4 linked regions of the Diceros bicornis minor genome follow. The protein of the gene in region 2 interacts with the protein of the main gene of each other region in a pairwise test. Links are inferred from orthologs where the notes say so. Each region holds a gene or a part of one and is shown on either strand. Other genes may lie near its edges.

Evidence for each region. The genes of interacting proteins can lie anywhere in the genome.
Region 1: the proteins of CAMK2B (region 2) and ACOT7 interact in binary tests that used the Homo sapiens proteins (3 or more experiments, as listed by UniProt). The two-hybrid records come from large-scale screens. The link is inferred for Diceros bicornis minor from reciprocal best matches to the Homo sapiens genes CAMK2B and ACOT7.
Region 3: the proteins of CAMK2B (region 2) and CCM2L interact in binary tests that used the Homo sapiens proteins (3 or more experiments, as listed by UniProt). The two-hybrid records come from large-scale screens. The link is inferred for Diceros bicornis minor from reciprocal best matches to the Homo sapiens genes CAMK2B and CCM2L.
Region 4: the proteins of CAMK2B (region 2) and RAP2B interact in binary tests that used the Homo sapiens proteins (3 or more experiments, as listed by UniProt). The two-hybrid records come from large-scale screens. The link is inferred for Diceros bicornis minor from reciprocal best matches to the Homo sapiens genes CAMK2B and RAP2B.

The regions. Positions count from the first base shown.
Region 1 is NC_080752.1:26,450,973-26,458,906, forward strand, and holds the start of ACOT7 (cytosolic acyl coenzyme A thioester hydrolase), read right to left. Parts: upstream 2,980-7,934; coding exon 2,933-2,979; intron 1-2,932. UniProt on the Homo sapiens protein: Catalyzes the hydrolysis of acyl-CoAs into free fatty acids and coenzyme A (CoASH), regulating their respective intracellular levels.
Region 2 is NC_080780.1:1,436,806-1,444,696, forward strand, and holds the start of CAMK2B (calcium/calmodulin-dependent protein kinase type II subunit beta), read right to left. Parts: upstream 3,019-7,891; 5' UTR 2,990-3,018; coding exon 2,925-2,989; intron 1-2,924. UniProt on the Homo sapiens protein: Calcium/calmodulin-dependent protein kinase that functions autonomously after Ca(2+)/calmodulin-binding and autophosphorylation, and is involved in dendritic spine and synapse formation, neuronal plasticity and regulation of sarcoplasmic reticulum Ca(2+) transport in skeletal muscle.
Region 3 is NC_080758.1:27,534,665-27,541,922, forward strand, and holds the start of CCM2L (cerebral cavernous malformations 2 protein-like), read right to left. Parts: upstream 3,022-7,258; coding exon 3,010-3,021; intron 2,471-3,009; coding exon 2,387-2,470; intron 1-2,386.
Region 4 is NC_080741.1:2,231,214-2,237,077, forward strand, and holds RAP2B (ras-related protein Rap-2b), read right to left. Parts: upstream 1,237-5,864; 5' UTR 1,162-1,236; coding exon 610-1,161; 3' UTR 522-609; downstream 1-521. UniProt on the Homo sapiens protein: Small GTP-binding protein which cycles between a GDP-bound inactive and a GTP-bound active form. Involved in EGFR and CHRM3 signaling pathways through stimulation of PLCE1.

The DNA of each region.
Region 1 (7,934 bases), on a different chromosome or scaffold from region 2:
TCCAGCACTGTCAAAGGTTTTCATCCTCTCAGCAACCCTGAAACAGGCACTATTATTATCCCCAACTCACAGATCAGAGAACTGAGGCCCAGCGAGGTGAAGGACCATGCCGGAAGCCACACACCTGCAAGAGGCAGAGCTGGGATTTGAACCCAGGCCATCGGCCTCTTGAGCCTGTGTTCCACTTTTCAGACAAAAAGGGCTTCCTTTACTTACAGTGCCAGCCATTCTGCCAGGCACTAGATGTGCTTTCTTTTCTTTAACACTCAGAACAACCCATAAGAAAATGGGGGCACAGAAAGGTTACCCAGCTAACACGGGCAGCAGCCAAATTCACACCCAGGCCTTGGACTGCAGAGTCGGCTCTAACCACTGCCCTCCACAACCTTTAGAGCCCCTATCCCTTCAATATCTCCTTCCCAGCCAAGAGCACGTGACCACTCTTTATTGTCTAGGATGACGCGGGTTTGGGCACCCACTCCCTGCTGGACTGTGAACCCTCTAAAGCAGGGACCTAATTTTCCAGGTTGGTGTCCCTCCCTCATGGCGCTTTGGTCCTTGGAGTCGTCCAGTGAAATTTGTTAAATTCACGGGCTTGGCTGTCCTAGGCCAGGAAGCTCCTCTTTCAACACAGGGTGTGGGCTCAGATGTCCTTAAAGGGCTCCCCACCCTGGTGTGTCCACTCTCCAGTGTCCTGGGGTTTCTCTGGGCCAAGCCCTTGTGACCACGGCCCTCATCACCGCATCCCCCCCACCTTGGCAGTTGTGCTGGGCACCTGAGGCTAACCTCAGCTAGGTATCCTGCCCAAGCACCCCACGACCAAAGTGGCCACTCAGAGACATGGCGCAATTGTGAATATGCAAGAGGCAGCCTGGGAAGCAGGGTGAGTAACAAAATGCACACACACAGGCTTGTACACACATGGACATGTCTAAAGCTATCCAAAAATCTACTAAATGTTAGAGGCTGGTTTTATAAAAGATAATACGTATAAATTGGCTATTCATCATCCTTATGAAACAAATAAAAGCCCAGCCTGGGCCGACCCCGTGGCTTAGCAGTTGAGTGCGCGCCCTCCACTACTGGCGGCCCGGGTTTGGATCCTGGGCGCGCACCGACGCACCGCTTTTCCGGCCATGCTGAGGCCGCATCCCACATACAGCAACTGGAAGGATGTGCAACTGTGACGTGCAGCTATCTGCTGGGGCTTTGGGGAGGGAAAGGAGGAGGATTGGCAATAGATGTTAGCTCAGAGCCGGTCTTCCTCAGCAAAAAAAGAGGAGGATTAGCATGGATGTTAGCTCAGGGCTGATCTTCCTCACAAAAAAAAAAAAAAAAGAAAAAGCCCAGCCTTCCTCCAGTAGACTGAAATCAGTATGTTCTTTTTAGGAGAGAGTGCAGTGGAAAGAACACGGGCCTGGAGACAGAAGACCTGGCGGGGGATGCCCCCTGTGCTTTCAGCTGGATGACCTTACAGAGGCAATGGGTCTCCCAGAACCTCAATTTCCTCCTCCACCAGCACGAGTGGTGGAAATCCCTGTAGTCCTCCCTTCCAAGGAAGTTGGGCAAACCAAATGAGACGAGAGATGTACAAGCCCTTTGCAAATGATGAACCCCAAGGTCACCCAGCCAAGAGGAGGCAGAGCCTGAACCAAAGACCTGACTCAAGGCCCATGTGTCTCCAAATATCAATTCCTTCTATTATTTTTGCCCCAGGATCTTGAAGTGGGTGGGGCCCAGACAGCCACACAGCCAATAACAAAGCAAATGGAGTAAGGCTCCCCCAAAGATTTCTTCTCCCAAGAAAAGTCAAAACTGACCTTGAGGTCAGGAAAGGACTTTGACTAGGTCAGAAACGGGGGTGAGGTCAGGGAACCCCCTTGATCCAGCACTTCCTGAATGCCCAGCCTTTGTCCAGAAATGTCAACATCCACAGGAAACTAACCTGGCTTGGACCCAAGGTCAATGTGATGCCCGACCACCAAATTTGTGGAACTTGTCCCCAAACAAGAAGCAGCTCTCACTCTTCTTGGTGCATCACGCAGGACAGGCCCTGTTGCAGGCCCCAGCGCCTGTGCGGCCTTCCCAGACTTCTTTTCTTTACTTAGCTCATGTTCAAATACCAGCATGCCTGCTTCCGGTTCTGCCCAAGGTAATGGAGAGTAACCTTGAGGCTGCCCTTCCCTCTCCTGTGGGAAATGAGCCAGCTCACATCTCCCGCTTCCTCTGGGGGCCTCTATCTACCCCAGTGCCTGTGGAGGAAGGCAGGGGTTCTTCACTGTGAAGAACAACCCTTTGCCCCCATTGTTTAAGATGCTTCCAGGCTCAATGGACCAATCCCTCTTCTTAGCAGTAAACTGTTAGAGGGGAAAGGTATTTTCTGTTCCTCCTGTTAACACCCAGCTCCCCACAGAAACCGAAGCAGTGCAGCGAAGGGACTGGACATCTGCAGCCCCCGCCCACTCGGGCACCTATGAATGGGCTTGCCGGGCTCCGGCCGCCGCCCAGCGAGCTGGTTACCTGCGCCCCACATCTCGAGGGATCCGGTGGACTTTGCACCACCGCCGAATAACGACCTCTAATTAGGGGGCTCAGCGGAACCTGGGCTGGGATTCCGGCGTGCTCGGGCGCCGGGCAGGGCGGAGCTGAGCAGGGCAGGGGGCGGGGACGGCTGCGCTCCGACCCCCGCCCGAGGAAGGGCGCGGCGCCGATTCCTTGCGCAAACGGCCTGCGCGACCGCTGCGCCGCCCCCAGAATCCGCCGGAGGCCGGCGAGGAGGCGCGCGGAGAGGCCGCGGCTCTGCGACACCAGAGGAGCATCCGGCCGTGGCCAGGGCCGGGCGCGGGGAGGGGGAGGGGGAGGGCGCGGAGGGGCGTGGGGCAGGCCTGGGCGGTGACCCAGCATCCTTGGCCGTGCCGCGCGACCCTCTTACCGGCAGATCTGGATGGCGGACGGGGTCTCGGCAGCGGGGTCAGACATGCTGGCGGCGGCGGCGGGCGGCTGAAGGAGAGCGCAAGTGTCTGGCAGGCCGGGCGCGGAATGAATGAGCCTGGGCGGCGCCATGGAGGGGGAGGGCGGAGGCGGGGCCATGGCGCCGGCGGCGAATCGAACGCGGCCTCCTGCGCAGGCCCCGCCCTCGCGCCCGCCCCCGCCCCGCCCCCTGGGCCGCGGCCGGCTCTCCCCGCCGCTGCCTCTGGCGGCGCGGCGGGGCCGGGGCTGGGCACCGCTTCCAGAAGGTTCGGCGGCGGTTGGGCGGCGCCGGGCTGGGTGGCCGCGTGTGTCAGCTTCGCCCCAAGTGGCGAATGTTCGTGTGCGGTGTTCCTGCGCCCGCGCCCGGCAGTTGGCGGGTCTCACGGCGCGCCCACGAGGCGCTGCGGCCGGCGGGCAGTGGGAAAGGCCTGCAGGAGTCCGCGTCGGGGTCGCTTCTAATATCAGCCCTGAGGGGAAACTGCAGGCGGTTTCCCGTAAACGAGCATTCATTCATGGCGGAGCTGCCGTTTCGTGTTCGCTGGGAGGCACGTGGGTGCACAAAACGGGGAACCACGAGCGGTCAGGCCGCAGCAAGTGCCTCTGCGGCAGCAGCACACAGCTGCCGAGTTGAGCTGGAAAGAAGAGAGGAACGGAGGTCTGTCTACACTGCCCGCTGCAAACTGCGTCGGGGTTATTCCCAAGATCTCCTGGGATCGCTGAGCGTTTGCCTGGGGGTGCACGTGATGCAGTGAGGAGCCCTAAGGATGCTGATCTGTTCCATTGCATACGATATGCCCCGCACTGGAGTCCAGAGTCCAGGCCAGGTCGGGGTCACAAAATCTGCCCAAGAAACACCATAGATCACCTCTATGTGCCGGAATTATAGAGAGCTTTTTACTCCATATGAATTTTCCAGTCATAATGGAGATCTGACTTTTTCCAGATTTTTTATAATGAACATAAATTGCTTTTGTAATCAGATTTTTAAAAATCAAATGAAACCAACAGAACTCAAGCTCTCCAGTGAAATTTGAAAACCCATTTATACTAAACTGAATAGCTGTGAAGGAACTGTGCCTCATCCTGGTCACTCCTGCGTTCCTGGACCATGGAGGCAGCCCACCACATGTCTGTAAGTGCCAGGAACAGAGAGGGCAGCCCAGATCACTCTACGGTTTCAAGATTATTACACTAAAAATTTTTTTTTCTAGCGTGAATTAAATCAATGCAAACATCAAGGGTCACCAAGCTTATTTAACCACCACCTCTTCCGGATATGGGTCCTGAAATGGGTGGATTTGTTATGATGGGACCCAGGAGCAATAGCCAGCTTTGGAGCCTAAGGCAAGGCAGTTTCCTTGTCTGTTAAATGGGGGTAATACTAGGGGTAATAATACTCACCCTCCTGACTTTTGGGGGGATTAAATGAGGTAATGAACCTAAGGAGCCTAGCACAGTGATGTTAGGGCCTTTCTTCCTCTTTGTTCTTACCTTCCATACTTAAACATTCTGTCTCTCAGCAGCCCTTCCCAGACAGTCACTGCGATGGAATAAGGATTTCTGAGGCCCAGCCCTATTTGTATGGGTGAGCACATCACTGTACGAGTTGGAGACATTTCCTTCTTCAAAAAGCTCAAAATCTGATTGGGAGATAGATCCGGGACACAGAAAGCCTGGCTCCAACCACATGCTGGAGTAAATTCCTAGACTGAGGAATAGGCTGATTGGTTCAGGATTAAATAGCCTGGTCCCTCGCAGAAGGCAGCAAAAAAGTGATCTGGAGCAACACCTGTACCTTTGGAAAAGGGTTTGGCTACCCTTTGGCCCAAGACAGCATCTGTCAACACTCTCCATGTGGTAGCTCCTGAGGTGGCAGAGGGAGCCAGAGAAAATAACAGCTCAGCCCGGATATTACTGTGTTCAGGATTCTGCAGAGAGAAAATGGTGCTCCCGGATTTACCATTTGTATATGATTGCCAGTTGTTTATGACCGTGCCCTGTTCTCAAGGATAGCAATGGAGGGCCCCATCATGAGTTATTCTTGCTATAGTGCTGATGGATTTCCACTGAGCTCTCACCTTATGCAGTCTCTCACCTTCCCATTTTAGGTTTTTTTCTACTTTCTCAAGCTACTGGGCCATTTCTATCCCTTTTTCAGCAAAACTTCTCAAAAGAGCTGTTTATGCATACACCCTCTCTCCTCTTCCCCCCTCCCATTCTCTTTTGAACCCATTCCATTCTGGTTGTTGTCTCTACTGCTCAATTTATCAAGGTCACTAATTCCTTCTAAACTGCTAAATCCGATAATCCGTTGTCAGAAGTCATCTTACTTGACTTCTCAAGAGCACTGAGCAGATGTGATCCCTCTTTTCTTGAAACGCTTATTCCTTGCCTTCGAAGACCCTGCACATGCCTACTTTTCTGGCCACCCTGCTCAGCCTGCTCGGCTGGTTCCGCTTCACCTCCTTCCTCTCAGAACTTGGGAGAGCCCAGAGCAGTGCTTGGACTCTTGAGGTCTCATCCTGTCTTGTGACTTTAAATTGTCCTTTCAACGACCACCGCGTATCTCCGGCCCAGACCTCTCCCTAAATTCCAGACTCATCTGTCCTCTTGCCTAGGCGACATGTCACTCCCGTTGTGTGACGAGGCATCTCCACTCCCTCAGAACTTGCTCCTCTCTCAGTCTTCCCATCTGAGCACGTTCCAATCCCTTCCTTCCAATTGCTGAAGCTAACAACCTAGGTCATCCTTGATTCCTCTATGTCTCTCATACCCCTCATCCAACCCACTGGCAAATCCTACCAGCTCTATGTTCACAATAAGTCTAGAATGTGATCGCTTCTCCCTGTGGTGTTCAAGAACCTGCCCACACCTACCTCCATACCCCTAGCCTCATCCACTGCTCTCCTCTTGCTCACTTGGCTGCAGCCAATCTGACCTCTCTGATGGTCCTTGAATATTCCCAGACCACTCTTTCCTCAGCACCCCCAAAGCTCACCCGGTCACTTCCTCAGGTCTTTAGCTGAATATCTAAATAACCACCTTCTAAATAGGCCTTCCCTGGCCATCCTACCTAAAATCGCAATTCCTCAGCACTCCCTCTCATCCCCCCTGGTTTATTTTTCTCCTTAGCACTTAATACCGCTTAATACATATTTGACTGATCCCTTTATTGTGTCTCCCCCAACTAGAACATATGTTCCATGAGGGTGGAACTTTTTGCCGTTTTGTTCATTGCTGTATCCCAGGCTCCTAGAAGAGTCCTAGCACATAATAGGTGCTCAACAAATATTTTATGGATGATTGCATCGAGGTTTACAAACAGCAACATATTTAACAGCAGCAGATATTTAATTCATTAGATTTAATTTGCACACTCTTTCTTTGGACTAAAAATATTATCCACAAATTGTTATAAAAACTTAAATATATTGCTTAAATCATTTCTTCAAATTTTTATGGAAAGATACTTAAAAAACTCTTTCCCTTGGGGGAAAGGACTAGGGGGTAAGGCCTTTATTTTTCATTTCCATATTTTTGTACTATTACCATCTAACCACTCATCTATTTTATTATTTTTTCATGTCACTATGGAGGATAGGATAAAAAACAACAGGAACTCTCATACACTAATAGTGGGAATATGAATTGGTACAAGCTCTTTGGAAAATAACTGAAAATAATTACTAAAGTTGAAAATAGCCATACCCTTTGACCCAGCAATTCACTACTAGGTGTATACCCTATATGTTGAGCATGAGTGCACCCAGAGACGCTTCAAAGGGGATTCATAGCAACACTGTTTGTGATAACTCCAAACTGGAAATAACTCAGATGCTCATCAACAGTAGGCTGGCTTAGTAAACTGTAGTATACTCATCAATGGGATCCCAAATAGCCATGAAAACCGATGAACTTCAGTTACACACTCAAGGAAGAATCACAATGTTGAGGGGGAAAAGAAAAATCCCAAAGAAAATATACAGGATCAAGCCATGCTTACAAAGATCTAGCATTCTATTTGTGCTATTATCAAAAAGATAAGAGATAAGTGTTGGAGAGGATGTGGAGAAAAGGGAACACTTGTACATTGTTAGTAGGAATGTAAATGGGTACAGCCACTAAGGAAAACAATATGGAGGTTCCTCAAGAAATTATAAATAGAACTACCATATAATCCAGCAATCCCACTTCTGGGTATATAGCCAAAGAAAACGAAACCATTATCTCAAAGAGATACCTCCACTCCCATGTTCATTGCAGCATTATTCACAATAGCCAAGGTATGGAAATAACCTGTGTCCATCAATGGATGAATGGATTAAGAAAATGTGGTGTGCGTATATATATACAATGGAGTATTATCCAGCCTTAAAAAAGAAGGAAATCCTGCCATTTGCAACAACATGGATGAAACTGGAGGGCATTTTGCTAAGTGAAATAAGCCAGACAGACAAAGACAAGTACTATGATGATGGTATTGGTTATATGTAGAATCCTGAAAAAAAAAAGTGTTGAACTCATAAAAACAGAGAGTAGAAAAGTGGTTGCCAGGGCTGGAGGTTGGGGGAAACAGGGAGAGGTTGGTAAAAGGGTACAAACTTTCAGCTATAAGATGGATAAGATCTGAGGATCTAATGTATAACATGGTGACTATAGTTGATAACACTGTATTATATAATTGAAATTTGCTAAGAATAAATAAATAAATAACTCTATTTGTTAGGAAAACATAAACAGGTGTTAAAGCTATAAAGAAAAACAAGGAAATGATTGTCACAAAAGTCAGGATAGTGAGTGTCTCTCAAGGAGAGTGATAGGATTGTCATCAGGGACTGTCACATAGGGTGGGGAGAATGGGGAATATTAATGCCTCCTCTTTTGACCTGGGTGATGGTGTACAGGTTTATAATTATTTTTTACACTGTATATATTTGTATTATGCATTTTTGTATCTGTTATAC
Region 2 (7,891 bases):
TATGGATGCTTATATCTGTGTATAAATGAACCAGAAAGAGTCTGGAAAGATAAATTCCAAATGCATGACAGTAGTTGGAGGAGAATGGTTACTTAACATTTATTTGTAATGCTTTATTTCTTATAATTTTAAAAAACAACTTAAGGCCAAAATGACAAAAGAGAAACAGTTTTCAATTCTGGGCAGAAGAGAGACAAATGTTTATTACTCCTGGAAGTTTTCTCAATTTTTAAAATCTATCAAATATAAAAAATTAAAACCGCACTGCTGGCCAGCCTGTGCTGGGCCGGGTCTGCCCTGCGCCTGTCCAGGGCCCCTGGGCTCCAGGTGGCTCCTGACCCAGGACTGGGGCCTCCCGGTTGGAGCCCAACAGGCCCATCCAGCTGGGCGAGGGAGAGCACAGCCCCAGAAAACAGCCCCTTTTGGCCCTCAGACCCCGCTGCCCAGGCCCCCAGGGGACAATCCAGAACAGGGGCAGCTGTGGGACAGGCAGGGAGGCGAGCTGCCCACATCACGTGGGCAGCTGTGGGCCTGTGACCCGGCCCATCCCGGGCAGGGAGCTCAGCGTCGCCTGACTGGTGCCAGGGGCTGCTGCTTTAAATAAACTTGGACGCGCCCACCTGGGCCGGGAAGCAACACCAACTGTGCCTGGGGCAGGCACTGTCAACACCAGGGCCCCAGGACCAAGGCCGTGGCCTGAGTGTCCGACCCAGGCAGCTCACCCCTGAACTCACTCATCCTCTGCCCCACCCAGGACGCCCCAGCAGGGCTGTGACAGGCCCCTTCAAGGCCCTCACCAGGCCTGGCACCTGGGGGGCTCCTCAAGGGGTGCTGGGCCAAGTTGAAGGCTTCCTGGCCCCGGAGGGCCAGCCCAGCACACTGAGGTGCATTCCCCTCATCTCCCAGGCCCCTGGTGCCCCCTCGACGGCTAGGCTTCCTCACCCACTCACGCCTGAGGCCCTGGCACCACAGCATGGGGCGGCCCCCACGGCTCCCTTCTTGGGCTGCTCTTGTTCTTGCTGATGGAGGAGGAGCCTGGCCTCCACTGCGGGGTCGGCCATCCCCTCTCAGCCTCCCTGAGGGCAGCCCGGAAGACCTCCATTCCCCAGTGTGGGCATATGTGGCAGTAGCCGGGATAACCAGTTGTTGGTGGCAATGAAGGCCTGGGGTTGGGCCGGCCACCCTACACAGCCGCTGGACCCAGGAAGGTTCCCACAAGAGTGAAGGAGGAGTCAGCGGAGTGAGCCTCAGGTTGAAGGAACAGGGTGCAGGGAGGGGTGTTTCTTTGAGGGGCCGACAGCACCTTCGAAGGGTCTGAGGGCCTGTATGCTCCTGGGCACCAGCACAAGAACACCAAGAAGGTCTCCTAGAAACTGGTGACCTTCCCCCACTGCCGCCCTCTGCCTGGGAGAACCACCTGTCCCATCTGAGGACCTCTAGCCCATGGCCCATCCTCACAGGCCTGGTCCCAGCCAGCCCCAGGAAGCTTCTTCAAGGCCTGTGTCCTGGGGGCTGAGGTGCACACACAGGGGATGTGCTGGACCCCTCCTTCCCTCTGCTCTGCTTTCCAGATCCCCCCACCTTGGGGCTGGGGACCCAGCCGGCTCCCACCTGAAGGAAGGGAGTTTCTCGGTCCACAGGCCCTGGCCTTGCCCTTCAGCCTGCGCCACCAGCTTCCTCCACTCCACCACTCCACCGGCTGCTGAGTCCCCAAGCCTGACCGGCATCCTTGGGCATGTGCAGGGAGAACTGGGGAATCAGCACACCCTCGCACTCCTCCTAGCTCGGTGCCCACAGTCATCAATGATCAGCATCCCTCCCAACACAAGGTATCACCACTGACATTCTTTTAGAACTGGGAAAAAAAGGATCTGCAGTTGGATGTGTAAGAGGAAACCTCGCCAGCACCCCACCACACATGCTGGATGGAGGAGGATGGGGCTCTGGCTGTGCCAGGCTGGAGCCGGGGATTCAGGAGTGCTGGAGCTGGCCCAAGGGACGCCAGGTGCAGCCACTCTGACTCACAGAGCCGAGGACCCCGAGACCAGCCTCACAGTCTCGGAGCCCGGGACAAAGCCTGATCTAGAACCTCACACTGCTCATGTTGGTGAGCAGAGCCCAGGAGCCACCTGTTCCTCGGGTGAGGCCTCACCTGAAACAAGCCTTCAAAGCCCTTCCCAATAGCCCCCCCCCCAATAACTCTCCAAAATCCAGCCCCCATCTACCTCGATGGCCCTGAAATCAGAAGCCCATCAGGCTCCCCACCTCACCCCCTCATCTCCAGCCCAGTGACCTGATCCAAGCTCCCTGACCTGGGCCCCCAGCTCTCCAGACTCCTCTTTCCAGAAGGATCCGGGGGGGAAATCCTCCAGAACCCAGATTCCCCGGGAGACCCACGGCAGAGGCTGTTCCCACGCGGCTGGGAGCGCAGCCGGCACCCCCCTCGCGGATGGAGCCACGCGGAGGAGCAGGCGCCAAGCAGGTCCCGCCACCCCCGCGCCCGGCCGCTTGGTGGGGGTGGGGACAGCGCGGCCCGCACGCTGACGACCCTCGGGGGCACTGCCACCTCCGCGGCCTCACGGCCGCCCCCGCGCGCTCCTCCTCTCTGACCTCCCGCCGCCAAATGCGTCACGTCTGCCGGGCGCTCTGGGGACACCTGCTGCCGCCCCCGCCACGCCGAGCCCCGCGCCCAGAGTCCGGGCCTCCGGCCGGGCGGCCGCGCTGGGCAGAGCCGGGCAGGGCCGCGCGCGCCGGGGCCGGGGGTTGGGGCGGTGCGCTCCGGGCCCCAAGCCGAGAGGAGCCGGGGGCGCGCGGGGCTGCACTGGAGCCGGCGGCGCGGAGGGTCGTGGTCTCCAGGGTCCCGGCCCTCCGAGCGCGGCGCCCTCCGGGATCTCCGCCCGGCCCGCACGCGCCTCGGCTCTTACTTGCCAATATCCTCGTAGAGCTGGTACTCGTCGGTGAAGCGGGTGCAGGTCACCGTGGTGGCCATGGCGGCGACGGACGGGCTCGGCGTGCGCTCTACTGCGCTCGGGCGGCGGCGACTCCGGCTCCCGCTCGCGGGCACGGCGGCGACACGGGCGCGGGCGCGGGCGACACCTCGGCTCGCGGCGCCGGGCGGGGGCCGGGCTGGGCTGCGCCGGGCGGCGAGCGCACGCGAGATCTGCGCGCTCCGTCCCCGCCAGGAGCGCGCCACACACCTACGCGCGGGGAGCGCGGGCGCCGCTGCCACCGCCGCCGCGCCCGCCCCGCCTGCGGCCTTCTGCACGCGCCCTGCACCCGCATCCGCACCCGCTCCGTGCACACGCACCCGCACCAGCCCTTGCACTCGCACCCGCACCCTGCACCTGCACCCATACCCGCTCCACGGACTTGCACCCGCATCCTGCATCTGCGCCCGAACCCGCTCCCTGCACATGCGCCTGCACCTGTGCCGTGCTCCCGCACCTGAACCCTGCACACGCGCCTCCACATGCAACCCGCTTCCGCACCCGCATCCATACCCATGCGCCCTGGGCCACGTACACGGGCACCCCCGGCCTGCCTGAACTGACTTCTCCATTCTCTGCTGGCGCCCCCCCTGTACACACACGCAGGGGACTGCACACAATGAACCCAGCCCCCTCTCTCCCCTGAAGGCCCACCTCGCCCCAGACCTCAAGAGGGAACTCAGGCACACATGGGGGCGGGGGGGGGCAGCATGTGTGCCCCTGTCCACAGAACTCATTCCTCACACCCCCAGGAGGAGATGCTACCAGACACCTCCTGCCCTGTCTCCACCACTCCACATATCACACAGTCCAGACCCCCTGGCAGAGCTGCCCAGGAGCCTCCCAGACTAGGCGCGTACACCGCGGGTGGGAGATGAAAGGGTGGAGGCAGCCCCTTCCCCATGGTCCCAGCCCGTCCATCGCTTTTCCTAGCACTGGCCGCTGGGGTATCTGGAGTGGAGGTCCCAGGAATGAGCATTTGGAGTTGACAAGGACCAGGGTCCTTAAGTTAGGGGAACAGGAGCTGCTCCATCAGCAACTCAGGATCCTGACAGCTCACTGCCCCCCTGCCCAGGTAGGGGAACACATTCTCCCCTCTTCCAGGCCTGGTCCACCTGCCTGCCCTCTGCTCTGGCCTGAAAAAAAAAGAGGGTCCATCTTGAAAGTAGCCCTGGAGGGGAGGAGGAGAGAGCATGGAGGGAGGGGCAGGAGAGGCTAGGCTGACCCCATTTCCCACAGAAGAGCCTCCCGGAGGGCCATCTAGAACCAGGACTTCAGACCCAGCAAAGAGGACCCACTGGGCTCCAGCACCTCCATTTCTTCTGAGGGGACAGGGCCAGGGTCTGTGCTGGACAAGCCCTGAGGAAAGAAGTTTCCAGCAGCCAGCTCTGGATCTGGGTCGTGCAGCTGCTCTGACATGAGCCACTTCCTGCACCGCAGGCTCCCCAGGCGCAAGGTCTGGGCCTGTCCTGCTCATCTCTCTCACCCTGGCAGGCAGCCTAGGGCTGGCTTCAGAAGCCATAATAAATATTCCTGGATAAAACATCAAATTGAAGGGATTCTGGGGTTGGGGCAACCAGGGTCTCTCCCACCAGGATGCCTTTGGTGCACCGCTGTTGGGCAGATTAGCAGACCACATGGCGACAAGTCTCGGTCCTGGGTAGTTTTGCAGACCCGACTTGCACCCAGGAGATGGCTAGAGGTCGAGGACACAAGGGTACAGGCAGGTCCCCAGCTGGGGGCAGAGAGGGCCCTGTGGGGGACATGGCCTTGATCTCAGACCACCTTCCTGCCTCAGTGCTGGGACCAGAGCACCCAGCACCTGCCAGGCAGACACCCACCTCTCCTGGGGCGGCCAGGGGAGGACTCGAGGTCCCTCACAGACGGGCAGAGGCTTGCTCTTGGGATTGTGTTCAGCCCCATAGGAGCCTCTCCCCGCACGTGCTGGGCCATCTGTATCATTCTGAGCTCCGGAAAGAGAAGGAGGCAGTCCTACACAACAGAATACAATTAGCAAAACAAACAAAACAAAATTGCACCCCTTGGTAAATCAGGCTCTCTCCAGGCTATGGGCTGCCAAGGTCACACACACTCTTACCAGCATGAGTCCACGCAATGGTAAAGTGGCATTAAAATTATGATGATGGTTGACACTGATTTGATTACATGCATTCTACATGTATTATTTCATTTAATTCTCAAACAATCCTGGGAGGCATATACTACTATTGTCCCCATTTTACGAGATGGGACAGCAGAGAAACAGAGAGGTGAAGTAACTTAACTTGTCCAATGTCACACAGCCAAGAAGCGGCTGGACTCAAACCCCACTGGCCCATAAATCCTCTCTTGTCTTTTCACACACACTGACACACTCACACAGACACACACTCACAATACACATTCACATACACACATACTTACACACAGACACACTCATATACATATACTCACACATACACACTCACACACACGCATGGCTTCCTGCAGCTCCTGGGCGAGGACACAGCAGCACTCTGGGTAGCCTCTTTTGAGGTTCCTTTCCCCGGGTGGGGAGGCTGCACAAGACCCAGGTTACACAAGAAGTCAGGGTCACTAAAGGGGTGCAATTTGAGGCCCCTGTTCTATTCCTGTTAGCACCTGGGGTCCCCCTGGGCAGCTCCTCCCCTGGGCTGAAACATTGAAGGTATGACGTGGAGTGACCCTGAGGAGGGCAGGGTGGGCGGGGTGATCAGGCCACCACAGTGGGGAATGGTTGAGCTACCAAAAGGCCCCAGACTGTCACTACCTACTCAGCCCAACCCCTCACCCCACTTACAGAACAACCGACACCCACCTCCAGACCAGAGGGTTCCTCCCCAGCACAGTGGAAAAGCTGGAAGGGAGACAGGCGGCCAGCCATGACTCTTTCTGGAGTCCTTGACCCCAGAAGCCCTCTCATCTGGGTTTGGCCTCCCACCTCTCCTTCAGGAAGGGCCCTCTTCCACCCACACCCCCACGTCATCTCCACCTCCCACCTTATCCTTTCTAGCTGGCTTTCGTCAGCAAAGAGGGCTCTCCCTCCCAGGTGGCAGCTGGGGCGGGTGTGGGGAATATCACTTCTGGGAGGTTATTGTTAGGACGGTCACCATGGCAACAAGCATCACATCTGCAGAGCCAAAAGTGCTGCACATGGGGCTCATTCTCCCAAGGAAAGCCATGGCCTCCTTTATCCTTGCCTCCAGGGGCTGCTGTCATGGAAGGGATGTCACTGCCACCACTTGTCCCAGGCCCAGCCATCTGCCTGGAAGAGCAGGCTGCAGTTCCCTGGAGCAGGAAGACTCTAAGCCATCAATCTCCAATCACCTGGCCCTTGACGAGGCATCCCATGAAGGATGCTGTGGCAGGCATGCAGGGGAAGGATGGTGGTAGTGATGATGATGAGGATGGTGATGATGGTGGTGATGGTGATGATAATGATGGTGTTGATGGTGGTGTTGGTGACAATGATGGTGATAGTGGTGGTGATGATGATGGTGGTGATAAAGATAATGGTGATGATGATGTGATGTTGATGATAATGTTGGTGACAATGATGGTAATGATGAAGATTGTGATGGTGATGGTGGTGGTGATGATGATGATGTCATGATGATGGTAATGGTGGTAGTGGCGATGATGGGGATGATGATGATGATGATGTGATGTTGATGATGGTGTTGGTGACAATGATGGTGATGGTAGTGGTGATGATGATGGTAGTGATGCTGATGATGGTGGTGATGATGATAATGGTGATGATGACATGATGTTGATGATAGTGTTGGTGACAATGATGGTGATGAAGATTGTGATGGTGATGGTGATGTCATGATAATGGTGATAGTGGTAGTGGCGATGATGGTGATAATGAAGATTGTGATGATGATGATGATGGTGGTGATGATGATGGTGGTGATGATAATAATGGTGATGATGACATGATGTTGATGATAGTGTTGGTGACAATGATGGTGATGAAGATTGTGATGGTGATGTCGTGATGATGGTGATGGTGGTAGTGGCGATGATGGTGATAATGAAGATTGTGATGATGATGGTGGTGATGATAATGGTGGTGATGACATGATGTTGATGATAGTGTTGGTGACAATGATGGTGATGAAGATTGTGATGGTGATGATGATGGTGATGTCATGATGATGGTGATGGTGGTTGTGGCGATGATGGTGGTGATGATGGTGGTGATGATGATAATGGTGATGATGACATGATGTTGATGATAGTGTTGGTGACAATGATGGGATGAAGATTGTGATGGTGATGATGATGGTGATGTCATGATGATGGTGATGGTGGTAGTGGCGATGATGGTGATCATGAAGATTGTGATCATGATGATGATGATGGTCGTGATGATGGTGGTGGTGGTGAGGATGATGGTGGTGATGGTGATGATGATGATGAAGGCCGTAGTTACGCTTTACAGTGCACTCACTACATGCTGGAAAGTCTCCTAAAGATCTAACATCTACCACTTCATATAAATCTTATAGCAACCTTGCAAGATAAGGGCTATCATTAGCCTCCTTTTACAAATGAGGAAACTGAAGCACAGAAAGACTCTGTAACTGAGCTCAGGTCACATAGCTGGTTTGTGGCAAAATCAATATTGGCATCCAGACCCACCTGACTTATGGCTGGTGGCTTTAACCCCTGCACTCTGCTCAAAAGTGACTATTGGCCTTGTTTACATGGTTACTATGTGCCAACTGTGTACCTGGTTCTGCCTAGGCACTGGGTCACACCAGGGAGTGTGGTGGACAAGGTTGCTGCCTTTGCAGGGCTTACGCCCAAGACCAACAAGAAAGAAACAAGAAAACATTGAGTAGTGATAATTGCTCTACATAGATTCAAAACAAAGT
Region 3 (7,258 bases), on a different chromosome or scaffold from region 2:
CTGCCTGGTCTGGATCTGAGGCCTCGTTCCTTACTTCTAGGGCCTATGTGCTCTGCAGGACCCACCGAGGACAGTTGGAAAGGTTCTGATTGACCCCTCCTGCCCTTGCCATGATACCTGGGTTCTGGAGACCCAAGCTCTGAAACTGACTTGCTGTATGATCCAGGGCAGGTTGCTCATTGTAACCTCTCTGGGCCTCAGCTTCCTCATCTTTCCAATGGGAACAAGAATCCCAAAGCCCCGCCCTGCAGTCAGAGGTGTGGCGTGCAAGACGTCAGGCATGGATGAGAAAGCAGCTGGAAGCTGTGAAGCGCAGGGGCCAGCGTATAAGATTGTTTTCAAAGTTTTTTCTGAAAGCTGGTGTGCCAGGTCAGTGCCTGTTGGAGGGAGGGTCTGAGCCCCCCACTGCCTCTAGGGGTGAGGGCCGCAGGGGACTCCCAGTCACCAGCCTTCTCTCTTCCATGTCTCCCTCCTCCCCTCCTTGGGGAGGGGAATGGCCCAGGCTGTTTAGTGCTAGCTTACACAGCCACTCCCCCCTGCTCCCTACATCCTGCCAGTCACCCCCCAGCAGCAGGAAGTGAGTTCTCCATCAGCCTGCTGGGCCAACAGGAAGAGGCCAGGATGTGCAACCCAGTCCCTGGCTGTGCTCTGGATATCAAAACTCCCACTTAACCCCTTGAGCAAGTCCCAAATTCCCACCCTCAGAGTGGCAGCAGGGAATGAAAGGTGGTCTCTTGCTCTTGCAAGCCTCTTCCTCTCTCTGAGCCTCAGTCTCCCTATCTGTAAAATGGGGACTTCTGTTACTCCTGGACTAACTCCAAACCTCACTGAACCGCTGAGAATCTCAAATAGGACAAGAAGTGTTCCAAATGCCACTAGAAATAGCAAACTACCTCTGTATTCCCTGCAGTGCCCACCCCAGGGCCATGAACAGATCAAGCGCTTATTAAAAGTCAGTGGAAGTGGGTGGAGACAGGTGGACCTAGGTTCAATTGTGTATGACCTTGAACAAGGTAGTTCATCTCTCGAAACCCCCGAGTCTCATGTCAAAAGCGGGATGATGACGGTGCTTGCCTCAGAAGGCTGCTGCAGGGATTAATGGGAATAGAAGCATACAATGGTAACACCTATTATTAAAATTAGCTCGTGAATTAAAAAAGAGATGAGTAAAATAAAGTCCCTCTCAAAGACTTAACAGTGTGGCAAATAACATTCGTCTCTTTTGAACCACCTCCAGTGGACTGGCAGGGGCTGCCTGAGTGCTGTGTAGAGGATTATAAAAACCAGATCTACCCCCAGCATGAAAAACGGATTGATTATCAATGCCTGCCATGGGACAGGAGGGGGGAATGAGGTAGCAGGTGTACAGCGCATATGCTGACTATGGTCTGCTTGGAGAGAGAGACACAGAAGCAGAGAACTCGGATATAAGACAAGCGACTTGTTGGAGAAGGCAGAATCAGGAGCCATTTACCAAGCCTGTGGCAGTCACGCGAAGCCTTGAAGGGCATGTGAAAGGAAGGTCACCCTAGTCAGAGGGAACAGCTTGAGCAAACACACAGTGCCAGAATTGTGACGCTTTTGGCTGCAAACAATAGACTATCTGATCAAAGGTGTCTTAGACAATAAGGAAAATTTACTCTCTCTCAAGACAAGAAGTCCAATGGTAAGTGATTTCAGGGCTGGCTAATTGAGCAGCTCAAAAATGGAATCAAGTTACTTACATTTTCTACTTTGCTGCTGCAATAGGCTGAATTGTGTCTCCCAAAATTTATATGTTGAGGTCCTAACTCCCAGTACCTCAGAATGAGACTGTTTTTGGAGATAAGACTTTCAAAGAGATGATTAAGTTAAAATGAGGCTGTAGAGTGGGCTGTCATCTCCTCTGACTGGTGTCCTTATAAGAAGCAGGAATTTGAACACACAGAGGGACACCAGGGGTGCGCACGCACAGAGGAAAGACCATGTGAGGACACAGCGAGAAGACGGCCATCTGCATGCCAAGGAGAGAGGCCTCAGAAGAAACCTATCCTGCTGACACCTTGATCTTGGATTTCCAGCCTCCAGAAATGTTAGAAAATAAATTTCTAAGTCAGCCAGTCCATGGTGTTTTGTTATGGCAGCCCTAGCAAACGAACACAGCTAGTGAGAAGGCTGCAGTGGCTTTAGGAGCAATACAGACATGATGCCATCCATCACCATCCTGCTTTTGATGCCATCAACCCTTGAAGAGGCCAAGGGTTTCCCCTTCTTGTGTGTCTTTTCATTGTGAAGGAAAATCTTTCCCAGAGAGTCTTCAAAAGACTTCCCTTAGGAATCTAGGAACCAGATGTATTAGCCAGGATATATTTCGGCTGTAACAAAGACCCAAATAACAGTGGCTTACACATGATAGAAGTTTCTCTCTTCCATTACATAAGCAGTCGAGGGCAGGTATGACATTTCCGTATGTCCCGGACCCAGGGGCTTCCTGTCTTGTCACTCCACCATACTAAGGTTCTGCTCTCAACTTCAAGATGGCTCTCCACACAGCCGCAGTGCAGTCAGTAGGAAGGGTAAACTGACCCAGGGGTGAGCACAACTCCTCCCTTTAAAGGGATGATCTGGAAGTAGCACAAAGTTCTACTGTTCATATCTCATTGACCAGAACTTGTTTCCATGGCAACACCTAATTACAAAGGAGGCTGGGAAATGTAGTCTTCTATTCTAGGTGGCCATGTGCCCAGCTAAAAATCTCTTTGCAGAAAAAAGGGATCATAGATACTGAGGACACATAGCAGTCTCTGCCTTACAAATTTGGGTCACATGCCCCTGCCTCCACCAATCCTCGGTCAGGGGAATGATCTTGGACCAATGGTTTCCAAGCTTTGGTGTGCATCAGAATCACGTGGAAGGTTTATAAAAACATGCTGCTCCCCACCCTCACAGTGGCTGATTCAGTAGGTCTGGGATGGGGCCTGAGAAGCAGCATTTCTAAGTTCCCCGGTGCTGCTGGTCTGGGGACCCCACTTTCAGAGCCATTGTCTTAGGCCAATTTTGACCAGCTTCCTGGGGTCAGGTGGGGGGCTATATTCCCTGAGCATTTGGGCTGGGGGCCCCTAAGGAAATAGGGCTCTACCTGCATGAAAGAATGGTGAGAAAGGCTGGTGGGTGGCAATCAGGGGAGGCTCACACACACAGGAAGATGGGTAGTTTGGAGAGGCTATGAGGACCGAGCAGGGTTATGTAGGAGATGAGGCTCAAGGGGTATTTTGGGCCCGGGTTGTGAAAAATCAGCATCAGGCAAAGGGTTTAGTCTTTATCCTGAGGGTCCTTGGGAGCCATGGGAGGTTCTAAAGCAACGAAAGCTCATGATCAGATTTGTGGGAGGCTGCATTAAAGCAGTGGTCCTCAAAGTGAGATCTTCAGAGCCTTTGCACTAGAATCCCCTGGAGAACCTTCAAAATGCAGATTCCCAGGCATGCTCTGTCTGCCTTCTGGTTATGGAGATGGAAATCTGCGTTTAAAACAAGCCCCTTGTCCCCCAAGTGATTCAGATGCACTTTGAAGTTTGAGAACCCCTGGATTAGAGGGTGGAAACCCTGGAGGCAGGGACACATTTTAGAGGCACTACCCTCTGGAAAGTAAGTTCCATGAGGGCAGGGAGCATGCCTGTTTTATATCTTTCTTGTTCAATGTGCCTAGAACAGTGTCTGGCACAAGTATGTACTCAATAAGTATATGTTTTGGGGCCGGCCCCGTGGCTTAGCAGTTAAGTGAGCACGCTCCGCTGCTGGTGGCCCGGGTTCAGATCCCGGGCGCGCACCGACTCACCGCTTCTCCGGCCATGCTGAGGCCGCGTCCCACATACAGCAGCTAGAAGGATGTGCAACTATGACATACAATAATCTACTGGGGCTTTGGGCGGGAAAAAAAAAGGAGGAGGATTGACAATAGATGTTAGCTCAGAACCGGTCTTCCTCAGCAAAAAGAGGAGGATTAGTACGGATGTTAGCTCAGGACTGATCTTCCTCACACACACACACACAAATTATATATATATATATATATATATATATTTTTTAATGGAGTTAGGAACTTCAGTCCGGTTCCTGATTTTGTCATGGACTCATTCTGTGACCTCTGGCAGGTCCACCCCTACCACTATCTCTTTTTTTTCCTTATCTGTAAAATGAAGAGTTTGGAGATAATCCCTAAAACCTTTGGCCCTGAGATTTTGGTTCATTGATTGAGCTCTGTCCAATCAACAGGGAGCTTTGTGTACCGTCTTGGCCTTTCCCAACCAAATATCTTTGTCTCTTAAAGGAGCCACAGGGATTGTGGTAGAAGGTATCTGTCCTCCCCGTCCCTCCTTCCTCATCGTCTTCCTCTGGCCCAGAACAGCCAAAACAATAGGACACAAACAGCACGTACTGAAATGACTTTTAATATCTCATGTCTCAGCAAAATTAAAAATATACAAAAAGTTTGTGGTGTACAAAAGTCTCAGTACAGAAGCCCCAGCTTGGGGCCCCCTCCCCCTCCTGGGGGAAGCGCAGAGGGGTGAGTGGGGGTGGGACTGAGGATGGCACAGATGTAGTCAATACCAGGAGGTGGGACAGGGAACAAGAAACAGAAGTGGGCAGGGGTGGGGGCCGATTAGGGAGGGAAGAATCACCCGGATTTGTGCTGAGGGAGGGAAATCAGCCCCTCAGGCATGGCTAGTGGTTCCCGGAGTCAGAGAAAAAGTGGAAGGGGGCATCAGGGCTGGGGTGTTCTGGTGGGACTCTGGTCCCACTCTCCCACCAACTTGCCATGTCACCTTGGGCTGGCCACCTTGCTGGGCCTTCCCCTTCAGTAAAACAGATGTTGGATGATTAAACCACTGATTCCCACCTTGGGGTCCCAGGCCCTGAGGATCCATGGGGGCAGGAGTGGGGTCCCATGAATGCTCTCGAGAACTGTGTATTAAACACTCCAATAGAATACAGATACTCCCCCACCCTCAAGCCTTAGAAGCTAACGTGAGGCCTTGGCAACATTTATCCGCAATCAGAAGCTCAGCTTGAGTTAATTCAATGTGGGAAAATTAATCATTCTTCAAGAAGTCAGGCTTGTTTGGGAGAAAAATCTCCCAAACTATAGGATCCTCAGGAGTGAAAACAATAAGAGGGGGCTCTGGAAATTGTTCTGGTCCCTTCCAGCTATTTTATGACTGGTTTGGAAAACCAAGGGGGTTGGGGGCTGTGTGTGAGGCCTTCCCAAGTTTGGTGGGTTAGCCCAATGGAGACAGGCCTGGTTTGGATTTTGGGATTTGGGTGAGAGGAAGATGGAGGAATATCCTTTTCCCACCTGGTGCCTTTCTCACCTCCTTTTGTCTCAGGCTACTCTCCACTCGGATTATTGCAGGCGCCCCAGGGCCACCCCGCCCCCCCCCTTGCCCCCTCTTCAGCCTGGCCTGGGGGTGCCCTTATGATTGTGCATAGAATAATGGCCAGGGTTGCTGGGGAGAGGGGCAGCCCCCTGCGTGCCATGAGAAGGGAAGGGTGGATGAAGCCAGGCACAAGAGGACCACACCTCTACCCTGTGGGAGTTTTCTGTCTCCAGGAACAAGGTCAGCCCTGGACCGGGCCTTCTCTCTCACTTCCACAATTTCCTGCTCTTCCTCCCCTCACCTGCAGCAACGAAGAACCCAGGAACGTCCTAGCCCTTCCCCAACCAGAATGGCACATTACAGTCCCTTGTACCTCCAGCCCCGGGGTCTCAGAAGTCTCTGGCTGGGAATGGGGAACACAGGCCCCACCCCCACTGCTGCCCACGTAGCTTTGCACTCAGTCCGTTTCATTGAGACATCACAAAGCACATTAGTACAGAAATTGATAGCACCCCCGAGCAGCCCCTACCCTAAGCCCCAGCTTTATCTGGGAGGGAGACAAGTGCCAAAGTGTAGTCAGGGCCAGCACAGGATGGGGGCAGTTGGGTCTTGGCTTTCAGTCCTCATCCTGTTCCTGGACTGTCCCCCCACTCAATGCAGTTTCCTCCTAACCAGGGGCCCCCAAACAGGAGAAGACTCCAGCCCCTAAACTGCCTCCCTCAGGCACTGGGGGGGCCTGTAGCCCTTATCAGATGATAGTTCCCAAACCAGGGACCCTGTGGACACCCAGACCTCCCTCCCCTTTTTAGCTGAGAGAGCAGTGGGGCCTGGTCTCAGGTGCCTAGGTGGAGAGGGTTTAGAACTGGACTAGAAAAGTCTCAGAGGGAGCCGGGGCCTCCGTTCCTGACTTCCCCAGAGGGGTTTCCAGACTCTGCAGGGCTTCCTAGAACCTTCTCAATATTTTGAACCACAGGTTTCAAACTGGTCGCCCATGGGGCAAATATGAGTGTTTAGTTTGGCCAGCACAGGGTTTTTCAAAAATTTGAATTTTAGTGCTTATAGGCAGGGCATGTACTCTCCTGTTTGCCAGAGTCCCCACCCCTCTCTATTGTCTAGCACCTCCACTTCTCTCATTTTCGTTACCTGAAGGCATTTGAATTTGCAGCCCATGCACCTCTGCCCCAGAAAATCTTCTCCCCACTGCCTGAGGTTTCTGTGAACTCCAAGCCGAGGTGAGCTCCAAGGGAAGGACCTGCGGGACTTCAGCTCTTAGGAGGGCATTGCGGCTGCCAGGGAAGACCTTCCCTGGATACTCCCAGCCCCCTTGGCCCTCACCCTGAGACCTGGACATTCCCCAGGCCTCACCCTCCCTGCACTCTGCTGTCCCCAGCTCTCATGGGTGATACGCCTCTGGGCGTATCCCACCTGTGGGACACAGGTGTAGCAGGGAGCTGGCTGGGGGTAAGGCAGACTTGAGGGAGACACAAGGATGAGGCAGATGAGAAGAGGGGACCAAGAAAGCCTTCCTTGTAGGGAGCCCCCTGCTGGGGAGGGGTGGAGGTCTGTGCTGTCCGACCAGGGTGACAGTCACAAGGCACATGGTACATCAGTGCTTGGAGGCGCAATGAGGGATGTGTGGTGCCTGGAGGGGTTTGCGGAGCATAGTCAGCAGCCTGGGGGGTCAGTCAAAACTGGGAGGCAGAAATCTGCCCTGGGAATGGGGACAAGGTCTCCTAGGAGTAGAGATACTGAGAGAAGGGCAGAGCCTGGCATATTTGGTACCCAGAGTGTCCTGTTCTCTTCTATTCCTGGCAAAATTAAGACAGATCCAACTACTTCTCATCCCCAGGAAAAGCCTAACTATGCCACTGGCTTCCTGTATGATATTGGGCAAGCCCCTGACCC
Region 4 (5,864 bases), on a different chromosome or scaffold from region 2:
TAACAGTCCCAGTTCAGATGTGCAATACTTCAGATTGGATACACTGTAACAAGAACCCAACTTTGCATAGACATCCTCGGAATCGCAATCAGTCACGGGGTTGCCCTTCCAAACTGGCAGAAAAGGAACCCGATCTTAATTTCCAGCTACTCCTGGAAAACAATGAAAAAACAAGTTTCCTCCTCTCCTCCTGCTCCTTCATTTGGTTCTCCCGGACTTCTTCCGTGTACTGAAAACTTGGAACTAGAAAACGGTTGTTGACACGCACACGCACACACACACAAGGTCCCCTCCACCTTCTCCCGTCCTCTTCCTTCCCCACCGCATTTTTTCCTGGCTGAAACTTTCGCTTGCCGGTGTCAAGCTGCCAATACAGCGCCCCAACGACTGCTTCAACGGGGAAATATGCGTCAACCAAAATCAATGAGAAACGTACATGCTGCACAGCGCCACGTTCCCACCGGGTCGCGGAGGGTCAGGGCGGGACAGCCCCTCGGACGCGGGGCGGAGGCCACCCCGGCCGCTGCCGAGTCGTCTCCAACCTCCGAGCGAGAAGGGCATCCCGCCGAGCGCGCCGTGCGCTCGGCTTTGTGCGCGGGGCGCGCGGCCTCAGAGGATCACGCAGGCCGAGCAGCAGCCCTCGTCGCCGTTGGGCTGCGCCGCGTAGTTCATCTGCCGCACGATCTCGGCGAACAGCTCATCCACCGAGGCTTTGTTTTTGGCCGACGTCTCCATGAAGGGGCAGCTCCACTCCTCGGCCAGGGCCTTGCCCTCGCCGAACGAGACCTCGCGCTCGCCCTCCAGGTCCACCTTGTTGCCCACCAGGATCATGGGCACGCGCTCGTACCGCTTCACGCGGATGATCTGGTCCCGCATGGGCTTGATGTCCTGGAAGCTCTGCTGGTTGACGAGGCTGTAGACGAGGATGAAGCCCTGGCCGTTCTTGATGTACAGGTCCCGCATGGACGCGAACTGCTCCGTGCCCGCCGTGTCCAGGATCTCCAGCACCGACGGCGACGAGTCCACCTCGATCTCCTTGCGGTAGAAGTCCTCGATGGTGGGGTCGTACTTCTCGATGAAGGAGCCCGTCACGAACTGCACGGTGAGCGCGGACTTGCCCACGCCGCCCGAGCCCAGCACCACCACTTTGTACTCTCTCATGGCTCCGTCGTGCCGCGGCCCCGTCGGGGCTGCGCGCCGGGAAGGGCCGGGCTAGGCGGCCGCACTTCTCCCCTGCCTCCGCTCCGCAGGAAGCAGCTCGGCGAGGGCGGCCGGGGCGCGCGGGGCGCCGAGATCGCCGCGCGGGGGCCGGGCCGGGCACGGCGGCGGCGCGTCCCTGGGGCGCGGGTCCGGGGCCCCGCAGCAGCCCGCGGCTGACCGGGAGGACAATGCCGGCAGCCCGCGCGAGGCGACGGCGGCAGCTCCCGGCCGCGGCAGCCCGGGAGGGCCGGCAGGCGGCGGCGGCTGGCTGCGGAGGCGGCTGCTAGCGGCGCGCCGGGCCGGGACGCGCGTGGCATGAGTCCCCGCGGAGCGTGCGCCCGCCGCCGCGGCCCATCGCGCTCTCTCCCGCAGCCTCCGCGGCCCAGGGCTTCCTGCCCGCCGCGCGCGGCCGGCCCTCCCCGCCCCGCCTCGCCCCGCCCGCCCGGCCCGCGAGCATGCCCAGTGCGCCGCCGCCCGCCGCCCGCCGCCCCTGGCTTTCCGGGGGCGGGACTGGGGGCCGGCCGGGGCGGGGCCGGGGCGGGGCGGCGGAGCGCGCGGGCGGGTGCCGGAGGGCGCGGGTCTAGAACCCGACCAGAGCAGCGCGGGGCTGGGAGGCGGCGGAGCGCTAGGCAGGCTCCGGTGGGAGCACGTGGGCGCCCTCTCCGCGCTCTGCGGGGCGTGCCTGAGGGTCCCGCCCGGGGCCGCGGGCTGTGCCTCCGCCTCCGGTATCAGGAGCCCGAGGACTCCACCCCGGGCCCCCGGCGGGGTGCGTCACGGCCCGGAGAGCCGGCGGGCGTTGGGGGCGCGGAGCGCGGGGGCGGCGAGCATCTCCCGGCGGACGGCGCCGCCCTTCACACCGACCGCCACGGGCACCTACGCGGCCTCGTCACCCCGCACAAAGACCCGAGAGCTGTCCCGACGGGGAAGGGGCCGCCCCTCGGCACTAGGGCCTCTGCGGGCGGCCACCTGGCGGGTCCCACCGCCTCCCCCGGTGGGGCTGCAGCCCGAGCCCGGCCACCCCCCCAACGCCGAGGGGCGGCGGCCAGGGCTGCTCGGGCGCCGGGCCGGGCTGGGGTGGAAGGAGGCGGCGGCGGCCGCGCACGCCCACCCGCGGGCTCGGCCCCCCGGCCCCCCGGTCCCCCGGCCCCCCGGCCCCGCGCACTCCCCGCCCCGGGGCTCGCCCATTGGCCGCCGCCGGCTCTCGTCCGTTTGGGCGGCGGCGCGCCTGAAAAGTCGCCTCCGCTGGGATTGGGTGATGGGCCGAGCGGAGGGCGGTGCAGCTGCTCTCCGTGCGCCCGCCCCTCCTCCACTGCCCCAACCCAGTCGTTTTGAAGCTAAGAGTGAAAAAATAGGAGGAATTTGGGCGGAGAGCTCGGAGCTAAATATAGTCCTTTGTTGAGGTTTGCCAGAGGGCCTGCCTTCTGGGTGCCCAGGCACCACCGGCCCTAAAGGGAGCAGAAGGGGCTGGCTGCAGGTCTAGTCTTCAAGAAACAGCAAAGTTGCCAAGTTTTTTTGCGGGGAGGGGAGAGGGCTAGGACGTGGAAATGGACCACGTAGGCATCATCCCAGCCGAGGGCCTCAGGAAACGCCTTCGCTCTCGGGCGGCACCCGCGGGGGTGCAGGGAGACGCCTCGACTTGCCCGAGTCTCCCTCCCTCCTGGCGGCGGGGAGATGTCGGGACCTGTCGCAGGCTCAGCGCTGCAGCCGGAGCCCCAGGGAAGGGGGTGGCGGGGCCGAGCCGCGTGCACTCTGGCTCTGGGTGCTGCCTGCCTCTTGCGCCGCCACCGCCCCTGGTGCGGCCGTCCGCAGCGGAGAGGTGGACCCGCGGGTGCCAACACTTGGTTTCAGTGTCTGAGGCCACGTTTGCGAGTTAACCTTCTCCGAACCCGGGCTGTAGCCCGCAGTGTGCGTGTCTGCAGCGTGGACGCCTCGGCCAGGGACCCGGCGGGACGCGGGCAGCAGCCGGCGCCTTGGGTGGGTGGGTCGTGCCCACTCCTGCGCCCGGCCGGCCTGCTTGGTGGAGAGAGGGTTGAACCTTGATTATCGGAGTGCCTGGATGTAATTATGCCTATATAATTCTCCAGCTGGAGAAAAGCTCACAGCGGTTACCCAGCGTTTATGTCTGCCAAGCGTCTTACACATGCTGTCTCATGCAATCCTCATAATAATGATAATTATTATACCTACTTTAAAGATGAGGAAACTGAGGCCCTAAGCCATTCAGTCACTTCTCTGAGATTTCACTGCTGGTGATGGCCGAGCAAGGATCCCAGCCCAGGTGTTGGGCAGCAGAACCTGGTCTTGTAACCAACTGGCCATTCTATCTTCTCATAAGAAAGAAAGTTCCCGGATTTTACTCTTTCTTAGGTTGGATCTTGAGGCAGTGTGATCGGACCGGCTCTTAAACCCAAGCAAGAGGGACCACCCTCTCTCAGTGCCCCTTCCCACAGGGTCGAGGAGCCTGAACCCTCTTCTAGACTGGCCAGGTGGTCACAATTCTGGAATCTCTGCCCAAATAGTACCAAACCCTCGTCCAGGCTCTGCTTGGGCCTCAGAACTCACCCCTGCATCCAGGAATGAGTTTTGGTTGGGTGTGGACAGTGCTTGGACCTGTGGGAGAAGGTGTGCCCCGCCCCTTGCCACAGTGGGCCCCTCCAAGTGAAGGAGGAGGGGTCAGTGGAGTCAGCATGCCTTCCCTGCCACCTTCCAGCCTGTGGTTGGAGGAGGCCAAGCTTCATAATTCACACCTGGCCATCCACCTCCTTGCAAAGAGGTGTTTGTCACGGTGGGAGGATAGATCATGTTCTAGGTTTGTCTTGATTTATAACGTAAATACTTAGGTTAATGCCACGTGAGCCTCTGTTTGTGCTCTTGCCCACAAATGGTAGGTGTGGCTCTTGAGTAAGGTGTGGTAGAAAGTGTTTGTCCTCATAGGCCTGGTGTCTAATCTCAAGTGTTGGATATCAGTTATTATCTGAGACCTTGGGCCAGTCCCCTCAGCTCTCCTGACCTTAGTTTCACTATCTATAAAATGGTGATAATAAAATTTGCCCTACTCACCCAGCTACACGAGGGACCTTGGAGAGAATCTGGTGACCAAACCCCTCATTTCACATCAGAGAGAGCTGAGCGGAATTAGAACCCTGGTGTCCTGGCTGCCCTTTTCATGGTGCCAGACGGCCCTCAGGGACAATAATTAACAGATAATGGATGGGGACATGCTTTTAAAGCTGCAGCGCCTCATAAATTTGTGACAACTACTAGCCAGACCCAGGCGGCCTGAGAGCCCCATCTAGACGAGACCAGCCTCAGGACTCCGGTAGCCACGTGGACGAGCATTATTGAATCTTGGTGGCCTCTCCAGTACCAGGAGGATGCCGCAGTTTGAATACAGCTGTCCCTCGGTGTCCGAGGTAGGGTTGGTTCCTAGACCTCCCTCGGATGGTCAAGTCCCTGAATCAGCCCTCCGTTACCGGGTTCCGCGTCTGCAGATTTCAACCAGCCGAGGACGGAGTGCTGTGTTTAAGACAGGGGCCGTGGAAGCCACAGATACGAAGGGCTGATTGTACTTTCTGCTGGGGATTCTTCCATTTTTGTCTCCCACAGAAAGATTTGCACTGAAGCTTTGGGATTCAAAATGGAGTAATGGAATTGCTCACGCACGAATTTTTAAGGTTGGTCACTTCCTTCTCTGAAATGTGGTTGGAGTCTTTACTGACCTCACTTATGGCGTGAATCATTATCCTGTAGTATAATTATTTACATGTCTGCGTCTTATCTCCCAGCACCGTGTGAATTCCTTGAGGGCAGGGTCCGTATCTGGCTTATCTTTGGAGCCACCTCTGTCCCTCAGAACACCTCGTGCAGTGCCTACGTAGGAGGCCCTCAATATTTATTGATGAATATATATGAATGGCATTTTACTCCTTTTCCAAACTCTGTGTGTGGTAAAAGATTATATTAATCCTTGGTGAGAGATAAACATTTCCTGGATCCTTAGAAAAATGTATACTAATATTTCAGTCTCTGTGAGTCATAAGATGCTGGAGTGATCAAAGTCAACCCTTATTTGGGTGGAAACATTATGTCAGTACTATCTTGGGGAAAGATACCAAAGCGTCCAATGGAGAGACCTTTTCTCTGAGGAAGACTTAACATTTGCAGAAAAGGCATTTCTAGAAAATAACCTAAAGGAAAAGCTGCCAGTAAGGATTGCTTAACCTCTGGTACCGAATGTCCCACAGTGGAGGGTCCTGGCCCTGGCCTTTGCTTGCATGGTGGGATGGCTCAGCTTTTTCGACCCTCGGATGGGGCCTTCAGAGAATTAGCAGGTTTGTTAGAACATGAATCTTTTAAAGTCCTCAAGAAAATAAGTGCCCACCTGTCCTCTTCATTTATCCAAAGTAAGCTGAGGTTTATTTCGTCATGGTCATAGTTTTAGCTGCTGCCGCCTATAGGTGAAGAAATGCTTCTAGTTTTGAAAACACCAAGGATAAGTCAATAGTGACCACGTATCATCATTTTAAAGGGAAGTATAAATATAACACTGTGCCTTGCAGAGTTCTCAACAGTATCTAAGTACTGAACATGTTATAAGGTAACTATGTATCCACCAGCAGGCTGAGGATATTTTTTTTGCCAGTGGTCTTTTTAACATAATCTCC